Oryctolagus cuniculus: one gene and its partners. The protein of the gene in region 1 interacts with the protein of each later gene in a pairwise test. Links are inferred from orthologs where the notes say so. Each region holds a gene or a part of one and is shown on either strand. Other genes may lie near its edges. The genes, in order: CARD9, KIAA0408, USP15, CWF19L2, MEOX2, CDCA7L and DUSP13B.

The links.
Region 2: the proteins of CARD9 (region 1) and KIAA0408 interact in a two-hybrid assay, tested with the Homo sapiens proteins (2 studies listed by BioGRID and IntAct). The two-hybrid records come from large-scale screens. The link is inferred for Oryctolagus cuniculus from reciprocal best matches to the Homo sapiens genes CARD9 and KIAA0408.
Region 3: the proteins of CARD9 (region 1) and USP15 interact in binary tests that used the Homo sapiens proteins (3 or more experiments, as listed by UniProt). The two-hybrid records come from large-scale screens. The link is inferred for Oryctolagus cuniculus from reciprocal best matches to the Homo sapiens genes CARD9 and USP15.
Region 4: the proteins of CARD9 (region 1) and CWF19L2 interact in binary tests that used the Homo sapiens proteins (3 or more experiments, as listed by UniProt). The two-hybrid records come from large-scale screens. The link is inferred for Oryctolagus cuniculus from reciprocal best matches to the Homo sapiens genes CARD9 and CWF19L2.
Region 5: the proteins of CARD9 (region 1) and MEOX2 interact in binary tests that used the Homo sapiens proteins (3 or more experiments, as listed by UniProt). The two-hybrid records come from large-scale screens. The link is inferred for Oryctolagus cuniculus from reciprocal best matches to the Homo sapiens genes CARD9 and MEOX2.
Region 6: the proteins of CARD9 (region 1) and CDCA7L interact in binary tests that used the Homo sapiens proteins (3 or more experiments, as listed by UniProt). The link is inferred for Oryctolagus cuniculus from reciprocal best matches to the Homo sapiens genes CARD9 and CDCA7L.
Region 7: the proteins of CARD9 (region 1) and DUSP13B interact in binary tests that used the Homo sapiens proteins (3 or more experiments, as listed by UniProt). The two-hybrid records come from large-scale screens. The link is inferred for Oryctolagus cuniculus from reciprocal best matches to the Homo sapiens genes CARD9 and DUSP13B.

Annotation. Positions count from the first base shown.
Region 1 is NC_091432.1:236,667,521-236,670,301, reverse strand, and holds part of CARD9 (caspase recruitment domain-containing protein 9), read right to left. Parts: intron 1,437-2,781; coding exon 1,257-1,436; intron 1,151-1,256; coding exon 1,007-1,150; coding exon of another isoform or gene 942-1,006; coding exon 816-941; intron 1-815. UniProt on the Homo sapiens protein: Adapter protein that plays a key role in innate immune response against fungi by forming signaling complexes downstream of C-type lectin receptors.
Region 2 is NC_091436.1:42,226,768-42,230,267, forward strand, and holds the end of KIAA0408 (uncharacterized protein KIAA0408 homolog), read left to right. Parts: intron 1-19; coding exon 20-193; 3' UTR 194-3,129; downstream 3,130-3,500.
Region 3 is NC_091442.1:64,682,102-64,685,601, reverse strand, and holds part of USP15 (ubiquitin carboxyl-terminal hydrolase 15), read right to left. Parts: coding exon 3,426-3,500; intron 3,269-3,425; coding exon 2,996-3,268; intron 2,236-2,995; coding exon 2,165-2,235; intron 1,788-2,164; exon of another isoform or gene 1,772-1,787; coding exon 1,656-1,771; intron 561-1,655; coding exon 411-560; intron 1-410. UniProt on the Homo sapiens protein: Hydrolase that removes conjugated ubiquitin from target proteins and regulates various pathways such as the TGF-beta receptor signaling, NF-kappa-B and RNF41/NRDP1-PRKN pathways.
Region 4 is NC_091432.1:99,252,735-99,256,234, reverse strand, and holds part of CWF19L2 (CWF19-like protein 2), read left to right. Parts: intron 1-21; coding exon 22-132; intron 133-2,395; coding exon 2,396-2,518; intron 2,519-3,500.
Region 5 is NC_091447.1:7,213,695-7,216,535, reverse strand, and holds the end of MEOX2 (homeobox protein MOX-2), read left to right. Parts: intron 1-940; coding exon 941-1,165; 3' UTR 1,166-2,341; downstream 2,342-2,841. UniProt on the Homo sapiens protein: Mesodermal transcription factor that plays a key role in somitogenesis and somitogenesis and limb muscle differentiation. Required during limb development for normal appendicular muscle formation and for the normal regulation of myogenic genes.
Region 6 is NC_091447.1:13,939,636-13,943,135, reverse strand, and holds part of CDCA7L (cell division cycle-associated 7-like protein), read left to right. Parts: intron 1-474; coding exon 475-621; intron 622-3,500. UniProt on the Homo sapiens protein: Plays a role in transcriptional regulation as a repressor that inhibits monoamine oxidase A (MAOA) activity and gene expression by binding to the promoter.
Region 7 is NC_091446.1:66,157,306-66,161,236, reverse strand, and holds the start of DUSP13B (dual specificity protein phosphatase 13B), read left to right. Parts: upstream 1-1,131; 5' UTR 1,132-1,187; coding exon of another isoform or gene 1,188-1,246; coding exon 1,247-1,333; exon of another isoform or gene 1,334-1,426; intron 1,427-3,047; coding exon 3,048-3,242; intron 3,243-3,536; coding exon 3,537-3,631; exon of another isoform or gene 3,632-3,635; intron 3,636-3,852; coding exon of another isoform or gene 3,853-3,931. Other genes in the region: SAMD8 (sphingomyelin synthase-related protein 1), read right to left, coding at 590-725, 3,853-3,917. UniProt on the Homo sapiens protein: Dual specificity phosphatase that dephosphorylates MAPK8/JNK and MAPK14/p38, but not MAPK1/ERK2, in vitro. Exhibits intrinsic phosphatase activity towards both phospho-seryl/threonyl and -tyrosyl residues, with similar specific activities in vitro.

The DNA of each region.
Region 1 (2,781 bases):
GACGGAGCCCCTGGGGCTGGCCTCAGCCTGGCCCAGCCCCGGGTGTTGCAGGCAGTGGGGGCGAACCAGATGGAAGAGCTGCCACTGCCCGCAAATAAGCAAAGCTTAAGAACTGGCACTGTGGCGCAGCGGTTAAAGCCTGCAGGGCGGCATCCCACATGGGCGCCGGTTCTTGTCCCGGCTGCTCCACTTGCGATCCAGCTCTGTGATGTGGCCTGGGAAAGCAGTGGAGGATGGACCAAGGCCTTGGGCCCTGCACCCGCGTGGGAGACCTGGAGGAGGCTCCTGGCTTCGGATCAATGCAGCTCTGGCCATTGCGGCCATCTGGGCAGTGAACCAGCAGATGGAAGACCTCTCTACCTCTCTCTCTCTCTCTACCTCTCAAAGAGATAAAATCTCAAAAACAAGGAGCATGATGGTCTGTGCTGTGTGAGACGCCCGCCTGTCCCCACTGGGGGCCGGCCAGCCGTGGGACACCGACACACAGAGGGAACAGGGCCACGGGCAGGGGCAGGGCAGAGTCTGGGCCCATCAGCGCCCCCGCGGCCGGGACTTGATCCATTTTTGTCCCTATTGGGCCACCCAGAGGCAGCCAGAGGTCCCGCCTACCAGCCCTGCCGCTGCCTGCCTCCGAGTCCCGGCCGCTCTTCTTCTTTGTGTGTGTGTGTGTGTGTGTGCAAGTCCTCCTCCGCCCCCAGGGCCCCCCCCCCAGGTGCTGGTTTCTGTGTTAGAGCAGCTCCCTGAGGGTGCATCGTGGCCGAGGGGCGCACCGAGGGAGACCCCGAGAGCGGGGAGGGCACTGGGCCCCCACACACCTGGTCCCGCTCCAGGGCCACCTCCTCCATCTGCTGCAGCACGGCCTCCATGCGCTCCTTGTAGAGCCGGGCGTCCTTGCGCAGGGCCTGGCACTGCAGGTCCAACACCTCCTTCTCCTCCGCGCACTGTGGGGACGGCCGCTCAGCGCCCCGCGGGGAGGGCGCCCGGCCCCCAGGGCCCCGCCTCCTACCCGGGCGCGGAGGGCCTCGGCCTGGCGCAGCTCCTTGCGCAGGGAGAAGACGGTGCCGGCCTGCTCCTGGTGGTCACGCAGCACCTGCCGCCACTCCTCCTCCAGCACCTGGACGTAGGGGCTGCTCCGCTCCCGCGTCCCCTGCTGGACACAGAGCGGCCGTCCCGCGCGGCTCCGCCCCCGCCCGCCCCCGCCCGCCCGGCGCCCGGCGCCCACCCGCCCCCGCCCGCCCGGCGCCCGGCGCCCCCACCTGCGCCGCGGCCTCCAGGTCCTGCACGCGCGCCTCCAGCTGGGCCTTCTGCTGCTGCAGCTCCCACAGCAGCTCCTGGCTCGGCCGCTGCTCCATGGCGCGCCGCAGCCGCAGCGTGTGCTTGCGCTCCACCGTGCAGTCCTCCTCCGCCCGCAGGAGGCTGTGCCGGAGCCCGTCCACCTGCACGCGGCTGCCGGTCAGCCCGCCCCCGGGCCAGCAGCCGGGCCCCAGGCCTGCGTTCCCCACCCCCGGGCCGGGCAGAAGGGTCCCCAGCATGGCTTGCGGCCCCCGCCGTCCCCCAAGCCAGGCAGTGGGGCAACCAGCCTGTGGCCCTCGACCCCTGCCCACCAGGCCCACCCCAGGCCGGGCAGCGGGGTCCTAGGCCTGCATTCCCCACCCCCCAGACTGGGCAACGGGGTCCCATGCCTGGTTCATAGCCCCTGTCCCCCCAAGTCCACCCAGGCCAGGCAGTGGGGTCCCAGGCCTGCAGCCCCCACCCCCCAGGCCAGGCAGTGGGGTCCCAGGCCCGGCTCCTGGCCCCTGCCCCCAAGGCCCACCCCAAGCCGGGCAGTGGGGCACCCAGCCTGTGGCCCTCGACCCCTGCCCACCAGGCCCACCCCAGGCCGGGCAGCGGGGTCCTAGGCCTGCAGCCCCCACCCCCACGCCAGGCAGTGGGGTCCCAGGCCTGCAGCCCCCACCCCCAGGCCAGGCAGTGGGGTTCCAGGCCCGGCTCCTGACCCCTGCCCCCCAGGCCCACCCCAGGCCAGGCAGTGGGGTCCCAGGCCTGCAGCCCCCACCCCCACGCCAGGCAGTGGGGTCCCAGGCCTGCAGCCCCCACCCCCAGGCCAGGCAGTGGGGTCCCAGGCCCGGCTCCTGGCCCCTGCCCCCAAGGCCCACCCCAGGCCGGGCAATTTGGTCCCAGGCCCACCCCAGGCTGGACAGTGGGGTCCCAGGCCCACCCCAGGCCAGGCAGTGGGGTCCCAGGCCCGGCTCCTGGCCCCTGCCTCCAGGCCCACCCCAGGCCGGGCAGTGGGGTCCCAGGCCCGGCTCCTGGCCCCTGCCCCCCAGGCCCACCCCAGGCCGGGCAGTGGGGTCCCAGGCCCACCCCAGGCTGGACAATGGGGTCCCAGGCCCACCCCAGGCCAGGCAGTGGGGTCCCAGGCCCGGCTCCTGGCCCCTGCCTCCAGGCCCACCCCAGGCCGGGCAGTGGGGTCCCAGGCCCGGCTCCTGGCCCCTGCCCCCCAGGCCCACCCCAGGCCAGGCAGTGGGGTCCCAGGCCCGGCTCCTGGCCCCTGCCTCCAGGCCCACCCCAGGCCGGGAAGTGGGGTCCCAGGCCCGGCTCCTGGCCCCTGCCTCCAGGCCCACCCCAGGCGGGGCAGTGGGGTCCGAGGCCCGGCTCCTGGCCCCTGCCCCCCAGGCCCACCCCAGGCGGGGCAGTGGGGTCCCAGGCCCACCCCAGGCTGGACAATGGGGTCCCAGGCCCACCCCAGGCCGGGCAGTGGGGTCCCAGGCCCGGCTCCTGACC
Region 2 (3,500 bases), on another chromosome or scaffold:
GTCTTCCCTTGTGTCTCAGGAATCCCTGGCAGTGAAGGCCTTCCCTGGAAAAGGGTTTTCTCGACCTGCTAGACCAGCAAATCGCCGCCTCCCATCCAGATGGGCATCCAGATCACCGTCAGCACCCCCAGCCTTACGGAGAACTGCCAACAGTTGCACCATTTCTCTTCAATCTGAAGCAAAGATGGTCTAAGTCTCTGGCCTGGATTGTTAGATTACAAAAGCTCTAGTCCCAGTGGCCAAACAGCATTATGAGTGTTTACAGACAGTCCTGTTTTCTACTGTATCTTTCAAGATCACTGGGAGGAGTAATTTAAATCTTAACCTTCCATCAGTCTTCAGTGTTTTTAATCTGTGGAACAGTTATCTTCCTGTGTTTTGATTTCTTAGACCAGAATTTTTAATGTCACCCTCATCAATTTCCCAATATGATTTCAGTTGAAACAATGTGTACAGATATTGTATATTCTTTCTTGCAAGTGGCAGAAAGCAAGGTTATGTGCATGACCATTTGTTTGTAGGTGCATGTGTTGTCATAGGAAGTATCCTAGTATGTGTTTAGATAACAAAACCGTATGTGCTAGTGTTCACTTTGAAATTATAACATGTATGCCTATATATTCTTTGTGTTTATTTAAAAGTTTTGAAAATATACAGTACTGTTTATATTTTGTAGACCTTTTAATAGGTATCCACTTAAGTTATTTGAGGTATACATATATTAATTAACCACTTCTATGGCTGTCAACTTTATTGAAAAATAATCATTATACACACGTCTAACACTGGTAGTTTTCTAAATACGAGTCATAGTTGCTTAATCCATGTGAGGATGAACTAACAATATTGATCTCCTTTTTTAATCTTTCAAGTAAGTATGTCACAAACCTAACAGATCGACCTTCTGAAATAGCATAAATATTCATAAAAGCTTTTATGTATCATTTGGTAGTCTAGTTTGGCTCTGACAATGTATTGATCCTCAGAGCTGGTTTCATGAGACTGCCTTATAAATGACATGACGAAATAATTTATTTTGTCAATCTCAGTGACAAATATTCCTTAAAGGGGATGCAAACAGAAATTAAACTATGTTGAAGTTCTGCTTTTTGTTAAAATTGTGGTAAGCTTTTAGTTTTGTTGCTTTATCTAGAGTTATACATGACTAGAGGTAAGTTGTTCATTTTTTCCTTTTTCTAAACTTTTCCCTAACATTAAGAGATAAAAGACTAATTCACTGTTTTTACTAACAAGGAAAGCAGGAATAATATTTCACTGAGCGCTGAACTGTAATATACTTCTTATAGTGTGCTACAAAAAAAAAAGCCTTAAACTAAACTTTGGCATCCATTGTAGCATAAGAATCAGAAATGTATATTTTGGCATTTTCTACAATTTAAATACAGTGAACACCTAAGATCCATGTTCTCACTGATATAAATAAGAATGATGAGGTGCTTGGAATTCTACACAGAAGATTTTAGAGGCAACTTTGCTCTTCACTGTCTATATAATACAAAAATAATTATGTTTTATTATTATCAGTAATTCTATGTAATTTTTATTTTACTGCCAGAAAAGGTTAAGAATTTCTTATTCCAAATGTATTCAAAGAGCCTTCTCTTTATTCTGACCATTTAGAGAATCTCACTTCATTCTATACCATGCCCAAAGGTAAAGTAAACAATTATAAAATAGCAAACTGCCTTAAAAGGCTAAAGACTGCAGCATGGTGATGGCCAGATTCATACTTTACCACAAGGTGACCTTCTATTGTGAAGCTAAAATAATCTTCTAGGATAAGATTTTGGATTGGATGGTAAGTAAAGGCTATCAATCCACAAGTAATCTAGAAATCAATTGAAATCACTGTCATTATATGCTTTTAAAGCAGAGGGGTGAAAACACTGGGAAGGTGGTATTCTGGGTAATAAAAAGATGGACCTGTTAGGAAAATGTTGCTGCAGTGGTGCCAAGACACCATCCATCACTGTATTCCAGGCAGTTTTGTATGATCTGTGGCTCCTACCTTTACCTACAAGTCAGAATATTGAGGATTTCTTTTAAAAATGAAATTATTGCTCTTGTTGCATAATTACTAATGCAAAATTTCAAAGGGTAGGAACTAGGACTCTCTTAAAACAAAGCAAAATACTTGATGACCAGGATGATTTGCAAGAAATAACACTGATATCTGAATGAAAAGATAACCTTGGGTAATCTCTTTCCTTCCCTGGGACTTGCCATTCCTACCTGTAAATTAGAAGAGTTATATTGTCAGGCTTCCTAGTTTTAAGCCACTAACCACTTGAATGAGCCAGTGGGACACATTTTAATATCTTATGATGACAAATCAGAATATTAGCCCTAAAACATTTAGTATCTAGTCCAACCCCTTGGTTATACAACTGAAGAAATTAAATCAGCTTACTTGAATGTTCTGCTTTTTATTTAACATGTTTTATAAATTTTTATGGAAAAATCTATCGGGTAAATGGAAGTTATCCTTGGAAAATATTTTTTGATGTATTGTGATTTTTAACTGGTCGTTTTTCTACTTTGGATGGACATTTTCTTCCCAACAACATATCCTTCATTGTGACACCATTTTTGGATTTAAATATTGGAGTAGAAACTCTTATAATGATAGATGTGTTCCTTAGAAGGCATTTGGGGGTTGGGAGTCTTACATTATTTCAACAGGAGATTATTGGCTAATCTCAGAAAGGAATAACAATGAGGCAGAGAAGAGTCCTGTGTGAGTGTATGTATGTGCCTGTCTGTGCCATCCTAACTTAAGCTCTTTCTGTTGCCCTTATGTCCCTAACACAAAAAATATAAATGATGCTTTGTATAGTTCACTTTCTCAAAACTTACCATGAGTTTTATTGACTTTTATTTAGACAATGAGAATGATCATTTTTCATTTTACAGATTTTTCCATAAAACATAATTCACTTCTACACAGATTGATTTTTACAAGGCTCCTTGTCATCCTGAGGAAACACCTCAACCTTCAAGATTATCTGCTTCCTTAAAAAGATCTTTAGAATTATTTTAGGCACATTTGCTGATAATGAAATCTCCTTCACTCATTGGAAGCTATTAAATAAAATAAGTGTGGAAATACCTGCTGTGGCATTTTTATGCATTCAGAAATTCTGTTTTTTCCTCAAAGTTGAGAGTCTTATGTGTAAATTCAAATACGTACACAGTTTAATCTAGCCTTCCCAAAAATGTCTCTAAACAGTAGAATCTGAGCTAAATCTGCCTGACTTTCTGCTCCTGGCCACATCTAACCCCGTATGAATATAGTTTCTCACACACTGACATTCTGTCTCCTATCTGTGTCCAGGTAGCATCTGATAGAGTTGATTAATATGGTTTTTTGAAAAGTGCATTCACTTTTGAAAATTTCCATTTGCATGATTGTTTACAATCATGATTACCCATCTTATCCAGAATATGTGTTCCTTCAAAAAAATGGACTTCATAAAGCA
Region 3 (3,500 bases), on another chromosome or scaffold:
TGAAGCCAGGAGCCAGGAGCCATAAGCTTCTTCCAGGTCTCCCACGTGGGTACAGGGGCCCAAGGACTTAGGCCATCTTCCAGGGCTTTCCCAGGCACATTAGCAGGGAGCTTGATAGGAAGTGGAACAGCTGGGACATGAACTGGCGTCCATATGGGATGCTGGTGCTGTAGGCAGAGGCTTAACTCGCTTCACCACAGCCCTGGCCTGAAAAAGTATATTTTTTTAATTTGGTATTTGGAAAGTCTCTAAGAGATACTGGTCCTTGCTAATTGTTATAACTACTAAAAAACTAAAAAAATAGAAACTGGATCCAATAGTGCCTGATGTTTTCTAAAAGATAACAAAAAACATTGAGTAAGTTTGAAAACAGAGTTGTTCAATATTTATGAAGTACAATCAAAACTTACTTGATAGGAAAATCAACTAAAGTATCTAACTTGTCTCTCATGTATCGACTGTAAGAAAATCGCTTGAGATGTACCACAAGTACTGGAGGCAGGGACCATAAATCCAATTTCTTTGTTGCTTGCTGATGTTCTTTACAGTTTGGACAATACCTAAAAAATGAAAAGAAATATTTAAAGTTTGATAGAGGTACAAACAAACAGTACTTATTAAAGAGAACAACAGATGAAAAAAATGTTTGAAAAGTTCTGTATTTTTTTGGTAAGCAATTAGCATATGCTAAATAGGTATTAGGCTGAAATCAACTCCTGTTAACATTTTTATCTTCAATATGCTTTCCAAACGGGTTTAAATATAACTAATATGCAAATAAATATTCAAAGAAATTATGAGGGCTAGACTATTTACCTTTTAGTATGCTTGTTAAAAAGATATGTATGTATTACAAATCTGTGCTAAAATACAGACACTAGAAAACTTTAAAACTTCTGGGCACTAAGAAAATAATACCAAAAAATGCAAGGATATTTTAAAAAGTCACAGAAAATGGAATTAAAGACAAGTTTATTTTGGTCCCTTCCTTCTGAATTCTGAAGTCCAAGCCAATTATTTTTTCATGATATGATTTCCATGAATTTTTTGAAATATTGTAGTATAGCGTAATTTTCCTAAAAACTTTCAAAAATGATTACAAAGCTAAAAATTCTTGGAAAAAAGTAACTAAAACTAATTTTTTTTGACAGGCAGAGTTAGACAGTGAGAGAGAGAGAGACAGAGAGAAAGGTCCTCCATCCGCTGGTTCACCGCCCAAATAGATGCCATGGCCGGCGCACTGCGCCGATCCAAAGCCAGGAACCAGATACCCACTCCCCATCTGATGTGGGTGCAGGGCCCAAGCACTTGGGCCATCCTCCACTGCCTTCCCGGGCCAAAGCAGAGAGCTGGACTGGAAGAGGAGAAACTGGGACAGAATCCGGCGCCCCAACTGGCACTAGAACCCAGGGTGCCAGCACTGCAGGCGGAGGATTAGCTAAGCGAGCCACGGCACCGGCTACTAAAACTAATTATTAATAGTAAATGGCTATTATGAAAGATATAGTAATGAGATTAAAGCTTAACTCTGTAATAACACTTTTAAAGGTATAACCATCTCTCTTTATACACTATAGCTTATTATAAAGAAATGCTTATAATTTAAAATATTTAAGAAAAATGATTAGAAACAAATATTCAACTCTGCCTCTTACCAGGGATCTTCAGCACCTAGCTTTTCTTTTGTTGTAAAAAGCTCAATGCAATCTTTTAATTTCACAAAGGGTTTTTTAGGAGGTTTATATTCCACACTTTCATGTTTTTCGAAATCCTAAAGAGAAGTATTTCTTGAGTTAAGAGAACAAATGAAACAAAACTCATTTTAGTGATACCATCTTACTATGAATAATAATGAAAACTCCTAAACTTTCTCAAAAGAATTATAAATCTTAGGTCAACTTAGATTTATTCCACAGATCTAAATAACTCCTGTGTATAACTATCTGGATGACTGAAACATGTCAACAGAATCCATGTTCAAAACCAACTCTGTACCTTAAGAAAAAAAGATCTTTTTGCAAAGCCTTTTGTATTTCATGATTTTTCTTAATGGTAAAATAAACATATTTGGTAGATAGAACTAAGTGAATATAGTAAAACAATATGATTAGCTATGGTAATCAAAATAAAATAAAGAGGTAAGAAGGAGTGAGTAATGACTTACCTCAGCAGCATTTTCATCAAAATATCTTTTTTTCAATTCAGGATCCCAATCCAAAGCAAGAAAAGATCTTTCTAAGGTGAAAAAATATTTTTTCTTTAAATTTACTATTACTTGGTGTTAAAATTAGTATATCTTAATGTTAGGATATGTGTCATAGTAAATAACAGCAATCTTTTCTAATAACACTAGCACTGGGTGATTAAGGCAAATAGCTGTTTCCAAGCTACTGAGCTACTGAAATATTTTCAGAGTTTAAAAAAAGATAAAAACTTAAGCATGAGTTCAATTTCCATTTAAGAAACACTGACATGCATTTTACTTAGATAAGAAGGCCTTTCGTTTAACAGTTTATTTTTTTATTTTTTATTTTTTTATTTTTATTTTTATTTTTTTTTTTTTTTTGACAGGCAGAGTGGACAGTGAGAGAGAGAGACAGAGAGAGAAAGGTCTTCCTTTTACCATTGGTTCACCCTCCAATGGCCGCCGCTGCAGCCGGCGCACCACGCTGATCCGATGGCAGGAGCCAGGATCCAGGTGCTTTTCCTGGTCTCCCATGGGGTGCAGGGCCCAAGCACCTGGGCCATCCTCCACTGCACTCCTGGCCATAGCAGAGGGCTGGCCTGGAAGAGGGGCAACCGGGACAGAATCCGGCGCCCCGACCGGGACTAGAACCCGGTGTGCCGGCGCCGCAAGGTGGAGGATTAGCCTATTGAGCCACGGCGCCGGCCTCGTTTAACAGTTTAGACAATGCATTTTTCATGACAGGCATGAATTTCGTGGCTTTTTCACTGAAAAAAAATCATCTCTAAGTAATTTTTCAGAAATACTTACCGTCTAGCCTAAGCTGCCGATCATCAAATCTTATATGCCTGGTATCATCTTTGATGTAGTTGATATCAGTATTGCCTAAGTTGTTGAACTGGAATGTAAACAATCGTTTTTTGTGTCCCGTGAGTTGACCTTTGCAAGTATCTTCAGTACATAATCCATTTTCAGAATCATTATCTCCTCCAACTGAATCTTCAGACTGACTGTTTTCATTCTCTGAGGGAAGTTCTTGATCCTGGCTGGACTCATCATCTGGCTCATCTGTTTCCATTTCACCTATTTTAGATATTACAAATTTAAAAAGAAACCCAATGTTCCAATTTTAAGTTTTTTGCAAATATTTTTAAGTTCATTAATGTTCATCTTCATATGTTTTTCTCTGAGGCAATAATCTTAGTGAAAAGATTTTTATAAGTTAACAGGAAAGTCTTACTTGGTGAGCCTTCCTCATGTATGCCATTTGGGCCATTCCCATTAATGTTTTGGTCCTTACAGCAGTGTAGGGATC
Region 4 (3,500 bases), about 140 Mb from region 1:
CAGTTGTCTTTCTTGTTGTAGGCTAAAGCTAACTTTGAAAAGGAAGAAAGGCGTAAAGAACTTAAACGACTTCGGGGTGAGGATACATGGATGCTACCGGATGTAAATGAACGAATTGAACAATTCTCAAAGGTCAGTACTGTCTTTTGTCTTTTTTTGCACTTATTATTTAAGTTAACATTGGAAGAAAAATTTTATAGAAATTTTTGTAAGTTACAGAATGAATATAACAGAGTTGGCACTACTGGATAGTTTTATTGCTTAGGTAGAAGTAATGTGTAGTATTTTGGATATTATGACATTGAAAGATTTTTGTTCCTAGAGTTGGCTGGTAGCAGTTTTAACTCCAAATTTCTGGCTCACTTGTGGCAAGTTTGTGGATTTAAGAAATTGTGCATCTTGGGGGCTGGTGCTGTGGTGCAGCGGGTTAACACCCTGGCTTGTAGCGCTGGCATCCTATATGGGTACCGGTTCTAGTCCCGGCTGCTCTTCTTCCGATCCAGCTCTCTGCTATGGCCTGGGAAAGCAGTGGAAGATGGCCCAAATCCTTGGACCCCTGCACTCGTGTGGGAGACCCAGAAGAAGCTCCTGGTTCCTGGCTTCGGATTGGCACAGCTCTGGCCGTTGTGGCCATCTGCGGAGTGAACCATCAGATGGAAGACCTCTCTCTCTCTCCCTGCCTCTCCTCTCTCTGTGTGTAGTTCATACCTTCAAATAAATAAATAAATCTTTAAAAAAAAGAAATTATGCATTTTAACCTTTGTACCTTTATTTATTTTTCTAGGTCTCAAGCTTTGTTTTTTTTTCCTACAATTTTTTTTTTTTTTTTAGGATTTATTTATTTATTTGAAAGAGTTATGGAGAGAGAAGGGGAAACAGAGAGCGAGAGATCTTTTATCTGCTGCTTTACTCCTCAAATGGCTGCCACAACCAGGGCTTGGCCAGGCCAAAACCTGGCTGAAGCAGGTGGCTAGTTAACCTGCTGGGAACAGCGCTGATCTCTCCTACATTATTTTATTCTTTATGTGACAAATAATTGTGCATGTTTGTGGGGCATACTATAATGACTTTATTTACATTATATGTTTTAGAAAGATTGAATGAAACAACATATACATTACCTTTCCAATTTACTATTGTTTTGTGGTGAGAATGTTAAAATCTATTCTTATAGCAATTTTGAAATATACTATAGATTGTTATTAACTGTAGTCACCATGAAATATGATAGGTCACTAAAAAGTATTCTTTCAGTCTAACTGAAACTTTATACCCTTTTATTAATATCTCTTCCTTTCTCATTCCTCCTCCCCAGCCTCTTCCAACAATTTTAATTCAAGCTATCTTGTTATGTTTTTTATGACCTCATAATGTTGTATGAGTTTTTTTTGTACCATTGAAAGTTACTCTGTGTGTGTAGATGTATGCCTATATGTTTGATTATATCTGTATGACACATGAATATAAAAATAAATTAAAACCAAACTTTTCCTTATAATTTTTCTGTTAAAAAATCTTAGCTATGGGGCTGGTGCTGTGGCGTGGTAGGTAAAGCTGCTACTTGTGGTGCTGACATCCCATATGGGCACTGGTTTAAGTCTTGGCTGCTCACTTCCTATCCAGCTCCCTGCTAATGAGCCTGGGATAGCAGAGGAAGATGGCCGAAGTCCTTAGGTCCCCGCACCCATGTGGGAGACCTGGAAAAAGCTCCTGGCTCCTGGCTTAGGCCTGGCCCAGTCCTGACTGTTGTGGCCATCTAGGGAGTGAACCAGTGGATGGACGATTCTCTATATCTGCCTCTCAGTAACTCTGCCTTTCAAATAAATAAACAAATCTTTAAAAATTCTTAGTCATATGGTTTGTGAGTAGTACATATGCTATTGAAGGTATTTTAAAGGAAGATTTATGTATTTATTTATTTGAAAAGCAGAGTATCAAGGAGAGATTGAGTGATCTGTCTCTATACACTGGTTTACTCCCCAAATGGCTGCAACATCCAGGATTGAGCTTGGCTGAAGCCATCAGCCAGGAACTCTAATGGGTCTTCTACACAGGTGGGTGTCAGGAGTCTAACCATTTGGGCCATCATTGACTGCCTTCCCAGGTGCATTAGCAGGGAGGTGGACTGGAAGCAAGAGAGCTGGGATTCCACCTGGCCTTCTAATGTGGGATGCCAGTCACAGGATCTGGCTTAACCTGCTGTGCCACAACCCTGGCCACTATAGAAAATATCTTAAAGCTTCTTGGAATATTTTATTTATTTGGTGATATTGTTCCTCTCATGAAAGATTTATAAAGCTTTTGGAACATAAATTTTTTTTCTCTAAAAATGGTTCCTTTTAAGGAAGATAAAACTAGGTTGCTTTTTTAACCTGTTGAAAATAATTATTTATAGGAACACTCTGTGAAGAGAAAGAAAAAAAAAGACAAGCATTCAAAAAAAGTAAAGAAAGAGAAGAAAAAAAAGAGCAAGAAAGAGAAATATGAGAAGAGCAAGGAGTCATCTGATAGTTCATCTGTAAGTATATACTAAAATTAACTAAAGCAGCTATTTGTCAGAAAGTTTTTTTGAAGGAATTGTGTATTGAAACTTAAAGCATATGAAGACCTTAAGAAAGTATGACACGAAAATGTCTGGGAGACGTGGACTTGGAGAAGGCCAGAAAATATTGAAAATGTGAACCTTGGATTCCAAAAAACAGAAAACAGGAATATGATTTGGGAAACATTGCTAGTTGGAGCCATTAGAATGGATTAAATACTTAGGGAAACTAAAGGTGAAAACTAGCACTGGAGAGCCAAAAAAGGAAGTAAAGAAGGCTGTGTGTTGGAAAATTAGAAGGAAAAGCAGGAAAGAGAGGTATTATAAACATAAGGGAAAAGAGACTTAAGAGTCTGTTACCTTTGTTTGGTCTTTTCATAGATAATAACATCTCAGGCTTTGAAATAGGATGTGTTTATATATTTACCTTTGGGGGCCAAAGGATGAGAGTGCTTAGTTAGCTGTGTCTCTAGCTGGTTCAGGATGAGAAGACTTAGGAAAATAAAGTAGGCCAAATCCTTTGTGTATGTTTTCAGGGAACAGAGGTTGTGCTTATCGAGTGACAAGCTAGAGATATTTAGGGATAAATGGTCTGCCATGTATGATCTTCATAGGGTTTTCTTCCAAGTTGAATTGCCATAATCTACAATATGGACCACATAGTTTCAGAAACTAAGTTTTTGCCAGCATGTTGTTAAAGGGAAACATAGCTGGGTATTAGTTAAACTTTTGAAAGTAGATTTTAGTCAGTAATTACAAATAGCAGAGGAAATTGCTGAGCTCAATTTCAACTTGTACAGAGATGTTTGGGCATTTGAAAGGGAAAATAAGGAAATGTGGAGAGCAAGGGCTCAATACAACAACAAAAGTGGATAATTCCAAAGGGTTGGACAGTGTAAATTTGATTAGGCCAATTGTGTTTGCTAGCTGGTAATTTTTTTTTTTTTAAGATTTATTT
Region 5 (2,841 bases), on another chromosome or scaffold:
AGACATGGAGGTATTTCATAGAATAGAATAATGGGCTATTAGCTTTTTTAAAAACAAAATTCATTTTTCTATGAGAAAGAGAGAGAGAGAGGCCTTCCATACACTGGTTCACTCCTCAAATGCCAGCACTTTCCAGGTGCAGAAGCAGGGAGTGAATTGGACACAGAGCAGCCAGGACTCCTAGTGTTCCAACATGGGACACGGTGGTGTCGCAGGCAGCAGTCTAACCCACTGAGCCACAACACCAGCTCTGGATCCTAAACTCTTAAAAGTTGCTTCACTTCATTAGAAAACAGGAAAGACAAAATAAAAGCACATAGAGATAACATTTATTGTCATCGTGTTGGAAAAAAAAGTCGAACCTGGTAAATCCAAATGCTGGCATAGATGTGGGTTACTTGAACTTTTATGCCCTGGAATGAATAGGGAAACTAAGCTGATAAAACCTTGGAAAACAGTTTTTCACATTAGTGTGTTAAGATGAATGTGCACATAACATTCAACCCATTGATGAAGCTCCTGGCTACATAACCAGGTATGTCCCTTCCCATGCTTATCAGGGCACCAGTACAAGAGCAGAGCCAAATACCTTGGAGACATCTTGAATGATAAGTCCTTTCTTGTCTACTTTTTATTGTTGTGATTTTTAATTTTAAATCCCCAAGGAAAAAAAAAACTGGGAGGTAATACTACAATGAATTCCCTTTGTTGTAAAATATGAAGGGTAACCATCTGCATGCATCTTCTGAATGTTTATAAATTATCATCATGAATACCAACCTGATTTAACTCAGGATGGATTTATTTTTGTATTTACGCCTCCTACATGGTGTCTTCGTGTAAGCCTTTGAGAATCTGTTCCTCCTAGGTAGGCCAAAAGGAGAAAGCACTCGAATTTAATGTTCTGTTTTGCTTTGTGTGTTCTCTTTCTTTGTCCAAGGTCAAAGTGTGGTTCCAGAACAGGCGGATGAAGTGGAAGAGGGTAAAAGGGGGCCAGCAGGGCGCTGCCGCCCGAGAAAAGGAACTGGTGAACGTGAAGAAAGGAACCCTGCTCCCTTCAGAGCTGTCGGGGATCGGTGCGGCCACACTCCAGCAAACAGGGGACTCTCTGGCCAACGAAGACAGCCACGACAGCGACCACAGCTCAGAGCATGCACACTTATGATCCACACAGACAGGACCAGCTCCATTCTCAGGAAAGAAGCGTCGTGATGGCAAGCCTTACCCAACAGCGTTTACACAGAGAGATGGCCATGGCCGTGATTTTTAATATTATTAAATTCAGGCATCGTGTTTCTGTTTTGCATGATTTATAGAGGGTTTACACTAAGTGCCAATTATCCAAGATGCTTCCATGATGAAGATCAGAAGGTGAATTTGCTTCGAATATTCCAGAGATATTTGGTTGTGTGTATGACAGTGAGCAGGTATGTTTGCTTTTGCTTGCACTGAAAAATTAAATGGCTACCAAGAGCAAATTATGACACATTTCTACACAAGATGCCTCCAGAGTGAAGACATTGAAGATGAACTTGCTTTAAACATTCCAGATGTACGAGTTCATGTTTATGACTGTGGGCAGGTATTTGCTTTTGCTTGCACTGAGAAATTGCTATCAAGAATAAAACATAAAACCTTTTATCCTGAACAGCCAAAGTGCCTGAGATCACTCAAGTGGATTTTTAAAAAGGATGTATTTTAACTCTGTATATATTATCCTTAAGTCATTTTCCTGTCTTCACTAATTTTAGCAATACATTCATATTAGCTGATGAAAATAGGCACTGATAATGCCAACCAGGCCAGCTTCCTGCCTTTTTATGCATTTGTCATTCCGAGACAGTCCGTATGTGCTTACTTGTGTACAAGTAGAGAAAAATACAGTAGAGTCTGATACGACATATTCTTGTACCACAGACAAAACAAATCTTATGTTGCATTTACTATCAACTGCTGCTAATACATTATTATACAACTTACCTAGCTCCTCCTCGATTTTTCCTATCTTGTAGCTTGAAAAAAAAAATAGGACCATAGGCAAATCAGTTACTTTGTGGAAAGAGCTTTTTTGAGGCAGACACTGTCTGATTTTATTTCTGTAAAATTTTAGCTGTTATGAATATGACTTAATTAACAAGAAAATGTTTCTTCCTTCTTAGCAATGGTGTCAGAAAAGGAGCAAAGCCAAATGGGCTCCCCAAGGAGATAGACAAAACAATTCTGAATATCTTCAAATTAAATTCAGTAAAAACACGTTATTTTTAATATGTGATGTATTCTTGCAGAACAACCATCTTTGTATTTTGTAAAAAATGTTTAATAAATGATCCTTTGTAAATAATTTTGGTCTACCCATTGTGATTTCCTTAATTTCTACAGATTTTAATATTCATATCTAAGAGAGCCCCAGACTCATCTGCTCTTGTGCTAATTCACATCCAGATCATTAATGAATCACAGGTTTTCATTTGTAGATTTATTATGGCAAGAAAAAAAAAATCAATCCTTGGGTGATCAAAGAGAATCTAAACATCATCATACTGTAAACCATTTTCTTAATTTGAAGAATATGGCAAATGAATGTCTTTGCATGCTTTACAAATCAAAGATAAAAGTAAGGGAAAAGGTAACATTATTCACCACAATGAATAAGTAAAGTAGTCATATATTTTAAAATGTATGTTTAACATATGTGAATCGATGCAGTAGTTGCTCTAAAGTCACACTATCCAGAGTCCTTGATGTTACTATGAGCTAAATAGCAAATCAGAATCTTCATTGGAATGGACACCACAGGTATCAGAAGTCAATTATTATATTAACTTAAAACATTTTGTGTCA
Region 6 (3,500 bases), on another chromosome or scaffold:
TTACCCACTACACCAGAGCACCGGCCCCTATTTTATTTATTTTGAAAGGCAGAGTAACAGAGAGAGAGGGGGACACAGAGAGATCTTCTGTCCATTCGTTCACTCCCCAAATGGCCACAACGCATGGGGCTGGGCCAGGCTGAAACCAGGAACCTGGAACTCTACAGGCCTCCCACATGGGTGGCAGGGGCCCAGGCACGTGAGGTCCTCTGCTGCCTTCTCAGATGCCTCTGGAATTTGCCACTCTCATCTCTTCCCTCCCTTCCCTCCACCGTCCCCCCCCCCCCCCCCAGCTGTAAGGTCTTGGCTGCAGCACCTGCTCAGGGTGCCCAGGGCCTTCTGGGTAATCATGGCTCAGGGTGCCCAGGGCCTTCTGGGTAACCATGGCCCACGGGGGAAAGTCAGGAGTTGGACAGTCCCAGTCCTGACGCGATTGTAACAGTGCCCGGTTTTCCTCTTCTGACCCCAAAACAGATCCCTAAGGAGGTGGCTGACATCTTCAACGCCCCCAGCGACGAGGAGGAGGAGGAGTTCCTGGGCTTTGCAGATGAGGTTCCCATGGAAACCCTCTCGCCAGAGGGGAGCCGTGATAGCTTTGACTCCCTGGCGTCCCCGGCGCAGGTAGGATGCTGCTTCCTCCCCAGGCCTGAGCCTGGGGGCCGAGACGCCTCGGTTTGTGCGTGGCTTGCGGTCACTGAGGCCGCTTAGCCGGTGGGCGTCCCATCGCCAAAACTTTGCGCCTCTTGGTTTCTTCCCGCCCATGGTATTATTGTTGTTGTTGTTGTTATTAATAGAGAACCCTCATGTGATCAGATCTTTGCTCTGCTCCCTGCTGTATTCAGAACCCCCCCACCATGGCTGGCAGGGAGTGGGCCCCGCCTTTGCCGTGGCCGCCCGCGGGGTGCAGCAGGTGCTCCTGCCTCTTTGCAGCTGCTGGGCCAGTGTCATTCTCGGATCGCTTTGATCTGTAGCAAGCACAAGTTACAGTTCTGCCGGGGCTCACTTCCTGGAGGTTTGTCTCGTGCCGCAGCCATCAGAATACCTCCCTTTCCGCGGTGTTTCTGTGCCTTGCCACTGCCCTGACCGCGGCCGCTGTGTGGAGGCCCACCCTGGCTGCTGCTGGCCGCAGCAGGAAGGGAAGCAGTTAGTGTGATGAGGGGAAGGGGCTGCCTGACTGCTTGTTGGTGACCCTGGCCTCGTCTCGTCTCTAAGTGCAGATGCTAGGATCCGCCTCCAGAGCCTGGCCCATCTCTAAGTGCAGATGCTAGGATCCGTCTCCAGAGCCTGGCCCATCTCCTAAGTGCAGATGCTAGGAGTCTGTCTCCAGACCCTGGCCCATCTCCTAAGTGCAGATGCTAGGATCCGTCTCCAGACCCTGGCCCATCTCCTAAGTGCAGATGCTAGGAGTCTGTCTCCAGACCCTGGCCCGTCTCTAAGTGCAGATGCTAGGATCCATCTCCAGAACCTGGCCCATCTCTAAGTGCAGATGCTAAGATCCATCTCCAGACCCTGGCCCTGGCCACGGCCCCAGGCCCCCTGCATCCCACTCTGCCGCTGCTCTTCCCGCATACCTCGGCTCTTGCTCCTGCCACAGTGCCTCTCTGCGGCCCGCTGGGGGAGCCTGCTCCTGTGTGCAGAGGGACCTGCCTGCCCCGTCCTCTGTCTGCCAGCTGGCCAGCTGGCTTTCCTGGTTCCCCGTCTTTAGCTCCATCTTTCACTGCCCTTGATCCATCCTTCCTCCTCGTCCTCCTCCTCCTGTCTTGGCGATTCCCATCCGGGGGGGAGGAAACTTCTGCCGTGTTTCGCACACTGATGCCTTCCCCCACTTCGCTCTGCATCTGCTGGAGCCCTCGTCCTTCCCACCAGGGTCCCGTGTAGGCCTGGGCTCTGGCCACGCCCCCTCTCCTGCCAATCGTCTTCAGAGCAGGTCAGGCAGCAGGGGGGGTGGAGCCTGGGGCATGGACCCTGGGGGCCTTCGGAGCCAGCAGAGAACCTGGCCTGCCCTGGGCCTTAAGAGACAGAGCAGCTGTTGGGAGACTGCTGACTTGGTCACACGTGCCCTTTATGGTGCCCAGTGTGACCGCAGCACCCTCAGCCGGCCTATGGCAGTGTGCATGGGGAGCAGGGAGCCCGGCCAGGGTTGGAGGCCAGCGTGCAGCGAGGCTGGCCGCAGGAGAGCTTCGCCTCTGTGGGGAAAGGAAGATAAATGACAGCGCAGGCTTGGGTTTAGGACAACTGCTGAGTTTTTCTCCCGTGTCGATCAGGCCAGCAAAGATGTTGATTCCTCCCGGGCTGCCGGCTGCCTGCTGAGGCCAGCACTGAGCACAGCGGGAGCTAGGAGGACTGGGAGATCGGGGCTCCCTGCTGTTCCGGGGCCCCTGGCATTCAGTGGTCCGCTCTGGGTGGTTAATGCAGTTTCCATACAGACCCCATTGCCCTGCAGGTACCTGGCGACTTTAGCCAGGGCCGGGCCCTGAGTCCACACCCTCACGCTGTGTTCTCACAGCTCAGAGCCGCTGCAGGGACTTGGAGATGGTGCCCACCCTGGGCTCCCCGACCACACTTTGAATCTCACGTTACAGAAACTTCCCTTTTGTGGGTGCATCCCCCCCCCCAAAAAAAAAACAGCTGCACCACTGCTATCAATAAAGGAACAGAGTAATCTAGAATGGAGCAAACTCTTGCAGTTACCCACAGTCATTCATAAGAGACATTTTCAAGCTTAAAAAACGGTACATCTGGCCGGCGCCGTGGCTCACTAGGCTAATCTTCTGCCTTGCGGCGCCGGCACACCAGGTTCTAGTCCTGGTCGGGGCACCGGATTCTGTCCCGGTTGCCCCTCTTCCAGGCCAGCTCTCTGCTGTGGCCAGGGAGTGCAGTGGAGGATGGCCCAGGTGCTTGGGCCCTGCACCCCATGGGAGACCAGGAAAAGCACCTGGCTCCTGCCATCGGATCAGCGCTGTGTGCCAGCCGCAGCGACCATTGGAGGGAGAACCAACGGCAAAGGAAGACCTTTCTCTCTGTCTCTCTCTCTCTCATTGTCCACTCTGCCTGTCAAAAAAAAAAAAAAAAAAGGTACATCCAGGGCAGGAGGCACGAGGACCCCGGCTGGAGCCCTGGGGAGTGGTTGTGGGCTTGCAGGGGGCCACTCTGGGGGGGCTTCCCCAAAGTCTGCAGGTTTTCCTCTGCTTTCTTTGGAGCACTCTTAGGAGAGCTGGGTTTCCTCCTTTGTGGTATTGCAGAAGAAAGGAGTTACAGGGAGGGAGGCGAGAGACAGAGATCCATCTTCCACCCACTGGTTCACACCCAGTATGGGGTGCCGGCACTGCAGGCGGCGGCTTAACCTGTTACACCACGACGCGGGCCGCACAAAGATTTTTCCTTTCTTTTTAAAGGTTTATTCACTTATTTGTAAGGTACCATTACAGAAAGAGGGAGAGAGAGAGAATCTTTGATCTGCTGGTTTACTCTTCAAATGGCTGCAATGGCTGGGGCTGGGC
Region 7 (3,931 bases), on another chromosome or scaffold:
TGACAGGCTACAGTTCCGGTCCCTTTTTAACGCCCAGAGCCCTTCGACACTCTTGCTTTTCATGCATTCCCTCACTAGCTATTTGCTGAGGATCTGCTGTATGCTGGGCCCTGAGCTGAATTCCGGGAGTCTAGACTTGAAGCCCTGCCCCACGGAATACGCCATCACGCATCGGGGGGAAGGACAGTCAGAGGTGAAGCAGCACAACGGTTATTCCTGTGTAGGGATAAGTTTGACAAGTGCTCCTTCCCCCCCCCCCCATCCCTCGAGATGTATTTTATTTGAAAAGCAAAGTGACAGAGAGAGAGGGAGAGCCAGAGAGAGAGAGAGAAAGGGGGGGGGGGGGGGATCGTCCATCTGCTGAACTACTCGCCAAATGGCTGCAATGGCCTAGACTGTACGAGGCGAATTCAGGAGCCTGGAACTCCATCCAGGTCTCCAAGGTGGGTGATGGGTCCAAGTACTTGGGCCATCTTCTGCTGCCTTCCTAGGCACATTAGCAGGGAGCTGGATTGGAACTGGAGCAGCCAGGACTTGAACTGGCGCCCTGACATGGGATGCTGCCATCACAGGCAGTGGTTTAACTCACTGTGCCACAGCGCCAGCCCCAGAGGCACGTTTGAAGGGCAGGTGTATGCTCAAGCAGAGAATCGTTCATGGAGACCCATGCAAAAAGTGATGATCTGCTCTGTGATTCAAGCGACACTTTGAGTAGCCCAGTAGACCTGTGGGAGGAAGCCAGGTCTCAGGTGACATCTGAGGGATGGAGAAACAGCAGAGCAGGGTCAGTGGGCATGTTTTCCAGGTGGTTGGAATGGCATGTGGTCAGCTGAGCTGTCCAAGGAACTGGAAGTCGCCTCCCCATCCTACAGCTGAGGGTGGCTAGGACCGTGGGGGCCTCTGAGGTAAGGCTGCCGAGCTCCTAAAGGGCCATGCGAGGAAGTTGGACTGCATGGCACAGCAGGTGTCAGTCTACCCATCTGACAGATCAGAAAAGTAAAGCCCACAAAGGTCGACTGACTTGTCTGGGTTCACAGGTGTGCACCCAAGGCAAAGCTGGGAAAAGAAACCCAGCCTCGGGGGGCAGCTGGCAGGAAAGGGTCTTTCACCAGATGTCTCCCTCAGCCAAGGTCCTGGTGCACTGTGTGGTGGGCGTGAGCCGTTCTGCCACGCTCGTCCTGGCCTACCTCATGCTGTGCCAGCGGCTCTCCCTGCGCCAGGCCGTGATCACCGTGAGGGAACATCGATGGGTCTTCCCCAACCGAGGCTTCCTCCATCAGCTCTGCCAGCTGGACCAGAAGCTGCGGGGTGCCGGCCGCAGCTGAGGAACCAGGTGAGGAGTGGCTGGGGCAAAGCTGGGGCTGTTGACATCGAGGTGGCAGGTGAGAGCTTGGGCAGGTAGTATAGACCAGGACAGCACTGGGGCCTGGATGGGAAAGGCCAGGTGAGGGGCTGGGCAGGGGACCTGGGCGGCGGTGCTCAGGGCAGTGTGTGGCTGCCAGTGAGGGTGTGAGGGGGCTGGTCCATACCCCAAGTTGCTGGCTCCCCTTACCCACCCAAAGCCTCACCAGGGCCCAGCCTAGGCAGCCTGTCCCATCTCTCCCAGCCCGACCCGTACTCTTGAGAGAACACAAAAGGAAGGAAAGGTATAGGCGGTGCAAGATGGAAGTGGTAAGGCTTCCCACCTCTCCTGGGGCTGTCTGCCCTGCCTGGGCACCGAGCCTGGGGGCTCCCTCACATCCCCTCCAGCCAGCAGCTCTGCCAGCTGCATGGCCTGCACCTCTACAACCTGTCCCCCACCCCCACCCCCAGTCACAGCTCCAGGGAAAGCACATTCTGGGCTCTGCTGAGCGTCACCCAGCCCAGCCCCACCATTCCCACGAGCAGGTTCCCAAATGTGCTGCTGCCATTGCTGTGTGTCCAGTGCTGGGCAGCAACAGCAGGGGTCCTGAAGTCACACAAGGGGAGTGGGCCCCCTAGAGCTCCTCTCCCAAGCCCTTGCTAGGCACAATGTCTCCTCTTCCCAGATGCTGGGTGGGACAAGCTGAGCTTCCCCAGCAGGAACCCCGCTTCTCAGGTACCCAGCCCACCGATGGTCACAGAGGTCCTGCTGCTTGTTTCTCTAGAATCAGTCCCAGGTGGGAGGCAGCAAGGGTGTCTGTTCTTGGGGTGGAGACCCCAGGATTTTACGGAAGTTACTGCATGCCCAGCACCCACTGACATGGAGGGACTGCCAGCTGCAGGTGGCTGATTGGCCTGGGCACCCCCAGGAGCTACAGGGCACTGCTTTCTGCTCTGCCCCAGGGCTCCCCAGACAAGGCCTGAATCCTTCCCTGGCTTGTTTGTTTCTCTGAATACATGGCCCGTGCGGCAGCCCAGCCAGCTGAAGGGGAGACCCGCAGGCATCACAGAGGCCTTTCCATAGGCCGGCTGGAGGATGAGCATCTTGGAGAGGAGGGTTAGGGAAGGACTGGGTGAGTGTGACAGGAGAGACAGGGTTACAGCTAGGGTGGAGATTAGGTCTAAGGCCACGCTGGTGAGGAAGTGTCACATGGAGCTCTGAGTGTGGGGGCAGAGGGAGAGGCGGACATGCTCTCCCATGGGAATGGCATGGTCCCAGCCTGCTCTCTTCAAGACAGGTTTCGGAAGCCTAGCAGAGCAGCAGTCTCTGATAATGCCCAATTAACCTTCCCCAGCTGGGGGCCCTTAAACATCCTCACCTCTGACCTTAGCATCTTTCCCTTCAAGCTGGCGGCTTCCAGGAAGTCACCTGGGAAGGGTGGCAGCGTAACAAAATTCACGGGGGAGCCATCCACCAAACTGTCTTTGCAAATGGAGCCCCCAGGAGTTGTGCAGTGCACAGCCTGTGCAGCCACACAGCCTGTGCAGGACGGAGGAGCTGTGAGGTTTCTCTCTAGGCCTGCTTCATCTCTCCCGGAACCTGCACCTACTCCACCTCACACAGCTCTTGGCCCTGCCCCAACAAGTCCTAGCCAAGGTATCCCGTGGTACACCTGCCTATAATACAGAGCTCTTCTCTCTCCCAGCGTCCAGCCTTACTTCCTGTCCCGAGGCTCTGCCACTTGGCCACCCTGGTCTTGGCCCTACTGCTGTCGCTGGAGGCCCTGATCCAGGTGGATGCCTGTAAGACAGTAAGAGCCCAGCGTGGGATCCGCCCTCGAGCCGTCTGCTTCTTCCTGTTGCCTGCACCGCTTGTCAGCCACAGTCTTCAGTCCCCACAGGTGGGAGTGGGCCACCCTCTCAGCGGCCCCCCAAAGTTCCAGGAACCCGAGTCCGCGGGAGGAGAGGGGCAGGAGAAGAGAGAGGGAGGGGAGTCTAAGCCTTCATGCCAGCCCGTGGCCACGGCTGCTCCCTCTTCCACCGCCCCAGACCTCGGGGAGCAGAGAGGGGAAGGACCCGGCTGGGCTTGGCACTGACCGTGCCGTGGACCAGTGGACACACTGGGAGTGGCCGGGGCGGGGGGGAAGCAGGGAATAGACAGCATGCTTTACAGTTCATCTCAAATCAAAAAATAGAAACAGCATCAAGTGTGCAGAGACAGGCGGCTGGAAGCCGGCACCGCAAACTGCCTGTCAGAGGAGAGCACAGCCTGCGCCGGGTACCCCCCCAGGTGGGTGAGTGCTGTTTTGGAGATGGGTGCGTGCTGGGAAATGAGGGCCAGGGCTCCTGTTGGGCAGGGCTGGGCGCTGGGTTGGGGGACCCAATAAGGTCAGAGATCGGAGTATAAACAAACCACAGGAGAATCCAAAGGACCAGGCTTGAAAGCTGGTTGCCACTCCTATTGGCTGTGTGGCCCTGGGTACAGTGCTTAACCTAAGTCTGTTTGCTCACCTGTAAAGTGGGGATGATGGTGTCATCGGCTCTGTAAGGGTTCCATGGGGACTCAGGGAGAACATGTGGGTGGCCTAGC